Oryzias latipes: one gene and its partner. The protein of the gene in region 1 binds, or shares a complex with, the protein of each later gene. Links are inferred from orthologs where the notes say so. Each region holds a gene or a part of one and is shown on either strand. Other genes may lie near its edges.

Region 1 (3,780 bases):
GTCCAGATTTCAGCTGGACTCCATGTTGGATCACTGGCTCTGTCTACATTTCCTCCCTAACGACTAAAAACAACTCCTGGATTTTTAAAAGCCATCCGGACAGCATGGACATTGATTTGTGTTACATTTTAAACGACAACCTAATACATTCACGCATTTTACGAAGACCATTGATGAATCCACTGGAGATGAAAAAATAAAAGAAATACTTTTTATTCCACTTGAAAAATTCCTCTAAGGCAGGGGTCAGGAACCTTTTTGGCCAAGAGAGCCACAAATGCCACATATTTTGAAATGTAATTTCGAAAGAGCCATACAATAATGTAGTGTCCTTTCCCCACACTGAGGCACGGAGACTTAACCTCTTTTAAAGTTCTTTATTCCGATTACTGCAGACCGCAACAAACGCCGTTCAATTAATTCAGCAACTCCTGAATCTCTCCCGCCGACACGAGAGCGCTTCTCCCAACTTTATATTCACCTGCTCCCGCTCCAGCCCTCCCATTTCCCTTATTCGGCCCATAGCTGAACCCCATTGGTCCAAACTACCTAACAACAGGCTGAGCGACAGAACTGAGGGCCAATCAGATCTCTGCTTGACGCGTTCAATGAACTCCAGAACTTTTAACGCGGCCCGACAGCCATCCAACTCAGTCCGCGACAATTTGTTTAAAACTAAATATACAAGTGAATGTGTGCATTTGATTTAATTTCAACATTTTTAAAGTACAATAAGTCTGTGGATTCTTTTTAATAACATTGTTATGCTGTTGCTAATAAATGATGAGTATTTCTCGTGGTAGTTTTGCTGATGGTCTAGTCTGGTTGATACGTGGTGAGTTTCTGCTTCATGCAGGCGTTGAGACTTTAAACGTGATCTTAGGTTTGAATGTTCTGTAGATGTGAGACAGACTGATCACATGCAGACGGGGAACCAAACACACACTCACACGCTGCAGTGAGTGACGGGCAGCGGGTTTTATGTTATTACAATCCCTGCACGATTCACCTGCTGCCTGTCCCCACAACCCCTCACCCCCACCCTCTGCTTTCTTCCTCACACATCCCGTCTCCGCAACTGCGCGCTCTTTCTCAGAGACGGGAGCGCGCAGTTTTAGGCACGGCAATTCACAGGTTTCCAGTTGGTACAAACTCTGTGAAATTATAGATAATAGTAACTTATAGCGCTGGCGCAGATTTCTCTCTCTAAGCACCGCTACTACTGCGCGCCTCTGGCATCGCATCGCGCCCGAGAAGGACTGGACTAATGAAAAAAAAAAAAAGTATAATTAAAGATTTGTCTGCGAGCCACATGTGATCATCAAAAGAGCCATATATGGCTCGCGAGCCATAGGTTCCCGACCCCTGCTCTAATCCAAGGCATTATGGGCTATATTCACCAATTTAGTGAGCATGCTTACTGGCTTTTCACAGTAACTGCTAAAAGATTCCTCTGTAATCTGTAATCCACTGAGGAACGATTGAAGGACTTTTGGGTCAACGTTGGGAGAAAACATGGAGGAGGCCAACGCTGATGGCTGCACTGATAGAGTGAGTGTTTTGATGGAGGCGGGAACATCCCCTCTCTGTCATTCCTGCAGCCAATCGCACTGCAGAGAGGTATTTAGATGAGTCTGCACCCAATCCCAGACGTCCACAGGCTGGAACTAAACTCTGGCTCCAGAATGATGTCAGAGAGGAGCGAGTCGTCCTGAGGTCAACCTGAGGTCATCTGTGGAGTTAGATTGAATTTCCTGATGGATCCAAACCGACTAACAACAGCAGTTAAACCATTGGATGATATTTAAAGCCTGACTCCATTTCAAAGGACTTTCCAACAATAGAACATGTCAGCAAACAGTGTTTCTGTGCATGAAGCTCTAGAGGCACCTAAGGAAAAAGGTCTTTCTGTGTTTCAGTGCTAAATGTCTCCTGCGCTCAGACCCCCCCTCGCTCCCCAGCCCTCACAGACCTGTGTCTTTGCAGCTGTGGACATCTGTATCACCGCTCATGCCTGCAGCAGAAGGACTTGGCTTCAGAGCAGTGGAGGTGCTGCAAGTGTTCCTCCAGCCACATGCTGAAGAGGGGCCCTGCAGGGAGGCCCAGCCGCAGCCGCAGCACCTCCCTGGCTCAGGTTGGTGCTTTTTTATGATCCCGCCCACAAACGCATGGCGCGCACACACACTGGCTTTGTTATTCTGTCACGTTTTAGCTTAAAAAAGGCGACTAACGGGCAGGAAATGTGTGAAACCAAACCACTCATTTATTTCCCCCACGAATAACAGTCGTGCAACCAGCATTTCAAACATTGTAACCATTTTCTCTCAGGTTTGAGAGACTTTGTTAATATCAGATGCACCAAGCAATTCCACTCCAAACCTTTAAGAAGTTGTTAGACAATTCTGGTTGCTGATGTGAACCACCTGGATCAGGGTGGAGACCAGGAAGGAGGACGTAAACAACTGTTTTTTAATTAAATTAGTCAGGACTGTTAATAAGCAGTTTAGCCCTTGTGCCATCTTGTGGGGTCCAGATGACCCCACTCCCAACGCTAACATGCCTCCAAGGCATGTTAGCGTTGGGAGTGGGGTCATCTGGACCCCTCAAGAAGGCACAAGGGATAAAAGCCATTTTGACTTAGTAAAAGAAGCATTTGAAGATGGCATGGATGTGAGTAACCCTCTGAGTAATGCAGCCCTCAACCTATACCGCCGTTTAGCCCCTCCCTCTTCAGTACACGCCCTGCTTCCATGTTACCCACCAAAGTGGATTTCAACAGAACATTTCTCACAGTTTAGATCTCCACAGATCAAACCAGGTGGATTTACAGGTAAGTGAGCTGGGGGGGGGGGGGGGGGGGGGGGGGGTCTCTCACAGACCCACTCATGTACCACCTTTATCCTCACAGATGATGAAACTGAAAAAAGATGTTTAGCAGCTGTTGGTCACACGTCTTCCCTCTGTGCTCCAGACTCATGTTGCATCCGGCCATCATGACGCAGCAGCAGCAGCTCACAAGAAGAGGGTAGGTTTCATCCACCAATTATAATTTGATAGTTTTTCAGCAATAAAAGAAAAATCACAAAAATGTGGGAGAGATCAGGTGACTCTACATCCTTTTCAGGATTCTGATCATGGAGTTTGGGACTAGAGTTTGCTGGAAACTAAATGTTCTTTTTTAGGTGGAGAAAAGGCCCAAAGTAATCAGATAAACGGGAAGCTTTTGTTCAGATCACACAGGAAATGCAGCGTTACTCTGCTGCTGCTGTTGTCATCACGTTGTTGTTGTGCTCAGGTTCTGGCTGCAGCCACGTTGGACCTACAGCAGGAGCAGTCCTGGGATCTGACCCGCTGCCTGTTCAGAGGACCGGCCCGGGTACGCCACGCTCCAAACGGCCTTGCCCAAAAGAAACCTACTGTTTTGGGGAGATTTCTCTCCTTCTGCTGGTCTCAGATGATGTCTGACTGACTGGGGGGGGGGCATGACACCTTTGATTTATTTACCATTAGAGGCGGGAAAAACGTTGGCAGCTTTAGAACAAAATATTGCTAGAAAATAAACACGACAAGAAGACGAGTCAGCCGTATTTCACAGGAAGCTGAGAGATGTTGGAGAACATCCAGAGTAATCAGGACTCTGCCTCCATCTGTGAGCCAGCTTTGGTTCTGACTGCAGGTTCTACCAGCTGTCTGCAGATCTAGATCCAACAGATTGGACAGGGATCTGGGTTCAAAGCAAACTCTGGCAGCAGCAGTCCAGCCTGCCGGAGATGAAGACTT
Region 2 (5,439 bases), on another chromosome or scaffold:
GAAGTCACAACGTCAGGAATTTCATTTGCTGAAGAGGATCGTTCTGCTGCAGCGTAGTGATTAGACATGTCTGCTTTATTTTCAAAACAATCACCAGTCAGTCGGAGACATGTAGCGTGCAATGGGTCTGCTACCACAGAAGGTCGACTCTTGTTATATACGACTCACAAACTCAGCACGGAAATAAGCTGCTCCGAATTATTAAAGAAAAAAACTTGACTAATGTCCTCCCTCCTGCCATTAACACCTAACACTGATCCTGCTAAAACTTATACAAAAAGAAAAAAAAACATCTTTTACTAAAATCTTTATTCTCATTGAAAGGCAGAAAGATTCACAAAAGAGTACAGTAATTCCTGATTCTTCTTCAGAAAGGTTAACGGTTTTTTGAAGAAAATGGCTAAACGGCCTCAATATTTTGTCAAAATGTAATGAGATTTTTATGAAAATAAAACTAAAGTATTCACTTCCAAGTCTGGATTTCAACCATGCCTGCAAGTTGCTGCCATCATTTCATTTTCTGTGGGTTTTTGTACTTTTCACAAAACAGTGCCTTAGCACAGACGTGGATGTGTGTGTGGTGGTATTATGGCGTCTTTCATGGAGTCAGGTGCACTCTCCTTCTAGGAACAGCATATATGTCTCAAGGACAAGAAGTGCACACTGCGGAAACACTGCTGCGCTTTAGTGAACAGACACCAACAATTGAAAGTAAGGTTTCAAACCTTCTAACTTCTGAGAACTACTCTGACATCGCCTTGGTCGTCATGGTTTCTTTCAATAAATTAAACTGATGAGAAATGCGAAAGAGAAAGCCCGTAAGAAAGCGCACCTTCAAAGTCTTGCAGTATGTGTCCGTCCCTGAACGACAGAGTCTGCTTTAGCTGTTGGTCCAGCATGCTGTGGATGGTGATGAAATTCTCATCCAGAGCCACCACGTAGGGAAAACTCACAGCCGCAGCAATCACGCTCTCTGACCAGCTGACCGGAGCCCGCTGAGATACCCCCTCTGCATTGGCAAACATTCCTGGAAGTCACAAAGCGGAGACGCGATTTGACGTTAAGCTGCGTGTCAATCAAGCATCTTCTCCTAAAAATGCTCGTGTAGCAACTTACCGAGACCCCCGGGTGCAGCCAGGAGGAACTCCTCCCTGCTGATCCTCTTCACGATGGGCCTCCTCTCCTCACTGTTGTAGGGGAACAGGTCCTGAGAGGCTCCTGTGTTGTAGTTCAGAATCATGTATTGTGTGGTGAGGGCCAGACATAAGAAGTAACCATCCAGACTGAGGGCGCAGGGCTGCTCCGGAGTGGACACCTCCTTGACCAGCTGCACCCTGTCCTTGTGCACCATGTAAATCTGCACGGTTCGCCTCTTTGAGGAGAGTATGGCCATTTCCACGCAGAACGGATCCCCGTTCACCGGGTTCTCGTTTACGCAGAAGGCAATCACTCCTCTGATCTTCACTCCGCCTCCTGCCGCTGAGGGCACGCTCTCCAGAGTCACCATGTCTACAAGAAATACCATCCCATCACAAAGCACGATCAGGCGCTCCAAAGCAGAAGCAGCCCGCAGCTCAGCCACCGGTTTCTTCAGGCCCAAGTATTTGTTCAGAAGCTTCTGAGCTGAGTAGCTCAGCTTCCCCATGGGCGAGGCGACCTCGTCGAGGAGAAAGTGGTGAATGAAGCAGTCGTTGGTGCCGACGTACAGGTGCTTGCCACAACATTCAATACACTCGATGTTGATGCGGGCTTTGTCGCCCATGAGGAGGTCTCGCTCCACAGCCGGGACGAGCTCGAAGGCCTTCACACTCATCTCAGCCACGGCATCGACACTACAATTAAAATAACCAATCAACATCACATACATCCAACAAAAATTACATCCCAGTATTATGTCATAAATGCCCAGACACTGAATATTTTAAAGCAAAATAGAAGGAGAGGCTACTGTCAACATATGAGCTATAAGGAAAGGGACCGTGAAACAAGTAAAGGAATAATTTTGATATTCAGGTAATATGTAATGATATTCAAGTAGCGGTAGTCTAAATATTTGAACAGATAACAAATGATGCAATAATTATGCATCTGTATTATATGTATTAATATGTAATTGTATGGCATTGTATACATAACAATTTTGTAATATTGTGCGATATCTTGAATAATTGTACACAAGCTTAGAATAAATCACACAAATCCAAATCAAATGGAAGATAATTAAACTATAAATGAGACAAACTGAACAAAAGTATTTGAAATTATTATGCAATATTATTATTAGCTTTCCCGTTTTATTTTTGTGCTGCTTTGAAACAAAAATGGATCCGTTTTTGTCCTTGTAGCTGCTTGATTCACAGGTCTACAAATCATCAACTAGCTTCATTTGTCATATGATAGCACGTGTTTTCATTTTATGACCAGCACTGTTTTTGTTTTTTTGTTTTTAACTGAAGTTTTATTATTTTTAACTGACGTGTATTTGTACGATCCCGACGGTCAAGCAGTACAACTTTAACCTGTCTTCTGTTGTCACTTCCCTTTTTTAAAGCTGAATCCTCGTTTCAAATGTAGGGATTTCCTGTCAGACTGTAACTTGGCTAACTGACTGACATTACACGATAATGTTTGTTTACTTTCATGACCTCCTCTTTTATTGAGGACTGGCATTAGCAAAATGTCATAGCACCAAAAACAAATTGCATCTAAAAGTTATGTTTTGGGTCGAGATTTTTCTGCTAATCAAAAGACAGAATTTTCCACGTTGGGTTTCCCTGGACTACTTTAAAAAGCTCCCATTAGCTTAACAGGCAAAGCTAATGTTAGCTAGCTAATTACAGCTAACTATGAATTAATACCAGTCTAAAACACAAAAAGCTGTTCGTGCATCTAAACGAGATGCCGTAAGGGTGTCCCCGCAAAGAAAGACAGAGGATTTCCAATCGGGCTCCACTCTCCAGAGGCGCTACCGACCAACTCCCTGCCCGGTTTGCCACAGACTAGTTGTCGGCGTTAGCAGCAGCCACCGTACTTACCGCTGCTGACGACGGAGCACGACCCACGAGCGACGCTTACTGAATCGGAGACTGTCACCGTGCCATGTTTTTATGGTTAAACGTGGTTACAGTCATGGTGCTCGATTTAACTGCATCCACAGAAAGAATATGTTTGCTTAGTGTTACGTCTTCCTTATCCACGGGGAAACACCGCCCATTTGCACTAGAACCCCCCCTCTCTGGTTGCAGGTGATTTAGAGCTGCGTTCAAGATCACACACAAGCGCGACAGTGATTTAGCAAGAAAAAAACGTTTTATTTTCTGCTTCAAATTTTTGTATATTTTAGTTTTAGTTGAATAGCATCTTGAAATTTAGAATCAAGAAAATACTTTTTAAATCAACCATTTTAGATCAAACTAAACACGCGCAGAAAAAAAACAAACCGTTTTGCTTGTACTGTAGGCGTAGCTTTGAGAAATTGACCTCCTCTGTAATTTAATTTCGATTAACAATAGATTAACAATAAATAAACATTATAATAATGTTGAATGTTTATAAACTGGTTGATTAAATACGCATTCAAGTTTTAAAAAATTGATTTAAGTCATTTAAATTCATTTTTCAGGACGTTAAGATTTTTAAGTTTTGTTTTTTCCTCCGCCTTGCACTTACTTGCAGGGAAGGATCTCAGTGAGGGGGGGGGGAACGTACTGGCAGGGAAGTAATTTGGCATGTTTGAATATGTCTGTAATGATAAAAAACGTAATAATAATAATAATAACAAGACAGAAGTTGTGCTCTTGAACGCAGCTTGGCTGCTTTTCACCCAAGATGCACCTGCCCAGCTCAACTGTTCGAGAAAAGCCATTTTGTTGTGCTAGCTAGCTAAATGGTAAATAGAGCAGCACACACATTATTCTGTTAAATGCACGGTAATTATGCCGCGATTAGATTTTGTTTTACTTTTGTCAAACTTAGTAAACGATTTTGTTAAAATATGGACGTAGTTATCACTGACGTAGACTAGCGTTTAAAGCTAAAGTGTTGTGATTTGGACGAAAACTGGTCGCTCAAGTGGAGTTTTGGTAACACACCGTTAGCTAACTGTGTGTTTACCTCCTAGCTGGCTATAGTTATGTTTTCTGATTAACTTACTCTTTGTACGTCGCTCTAAGTATGTACTTTAGTTTAAAATAGAATACTGCCTTCTGTGCATATAACCAAAAAGAGTTTGCTCAACAAAAAAGTCAGTATTGTTGTTAGTGGGTTAACAGGCCAATCCAGCACTAATTTAGCAAAACACTTGAACCATACTACGTTAAGCCAAAGTGCTAATCAGATAATGGCAGAGGACACACGACAGAACAAGAGGGCCAGCTTCTCCGCTTTAACGGAGCTCAGCACCAACGGGATGGCCAGGACAGCCGCTCTAGCATCGGGCAAAACGGGAGCTTCAAAGAAGTTGGTGATAAAAAATTTTAAAGGTAATGTCATGCATCAGGTTTGTTTTCCTTCAGTGGAATAACCAATGGGCACAAGCCAAGGAACATGACTGGCCAACATTCAGTATAGGATCATGATACTGTAAAGGTTACATGTCTAGTGAAGATGTTGAGTCACACAAGCTGTGACCTGATCACTTTTTTGCGTGTTTGTGAGGAACACGCGTGTCAATTTGAACATATTGGATATACATTTATTCAGTCTTAAGCTACAATTTAGTGAAGAAAGATGAAACTGTAGTCTTCACATTCGGATTAGATTTTTCTTTCCTATAAATTAAAAATTGGAATATGTTTGTATAGAATTATCAGGCTGTTTAAATAATACGCCTCATTAAATAACATGCATAAGTAATAAGAATGTTAGACATACATGGACTTTTTGTTTTAAACTATTGTCACCCATATGAGGAACAAAGTACAATAACATGCAATTTTCAGAAAGCTTCAGCTTTATTTTATGTATGTGAGACACTGAGTGTGTACATGTTTTTGTAGAAATGAATGTATTCAATTTTTGAGACTTAAATATTGAAATGTTTTTGTTTCAGACCGGCCCAAACTAGCAGAGAACTACACCGAGGATACATGGCTGAAGCTTCGAGACGCTGTGAGTGCTATCCAAAACAGCACTTCAATTAAGTACAATCTGGAAGAGCTCTATCAGGTACGTATTTTTCAGCACCAAGCTCCACTTACATTTAGCTTGTGTTCACATCACTCAGCTTTACGAAATCTTTGCCCAAATTTGGACAGTTTTCTGATTCATAATTGGATCCGTTTTGTGTAGAACGGTTATTTACCGTTTAAGAGTCAACCTGTAAACTGAAACACTGAATGGATCAATGCTTTAAATAAAATAAACTGCTACATGATTTTATGTATTGTAAAAAAAAAAAAAAAAAAAAAAAAATGCAAGTGCTGTAGATCTCTTAAAAAA

The links. The genes of interacting proteins can lie anywhere in the genome.
Region 2: vps8 (region 1) and tgfbrap1 share a complex: the UniProt entries of both Homo sapiens proteins name them as parts of the putative class C core vacuole/endosome tethering (CORVET) complex. The link is inferred for Oryzias latipes from reciprocal best matches to the Homo sapiens genes VPS8 and TGFBRAP1.

The regions. Positions count from the first base shown.
Region 1 is NC_019877.2:24,390,897-24,394,676, reverse strand, and holds part of vps8 (vacuolar protein sorting-associated protein 8 homolog), read left to right. Parts: intron 1-1,919; exon of another isoform or gene 1,920-1,986; coding exon 1,987-2,134; intron 2,135-2,971; coding exon 2,972-3,025; intron 3,026-3,295; coding exon 3,296-3,376; intron 3,377-3,780. UniProt on the Homo sapiens protein: Plays a role in vesicle-mediated protein trafficking of the endocytic membrane transport pathway.
Region 2 is NC_019861.2:16,418,293-16,423,731, forward strand, and holds the start of tgfbrap1 (transforming growth factor-beta receptor-associated protein 1), read right to left. Parts: upstream 3,248-5,439; 5' UTR 3,036-3,247; intron 1,833-3,035; 5' UTR 1,814-1,832; coding exon 1,117-1,813; intron 1,028-1,116; coding exon 833-1,027; intron 1-832. Other genes in the region: cullin-4A, read left to right, coding at 4,340-4,481, 5,051-5,166. UniProt on the Homo sapiens protein: Plays a role in the TGF-beta/activin signaling pathway. It associates with inactive heteromeric TGF-beta and activin receptor complexes, mainly through the type II receptor, and is released upon activation of signaling.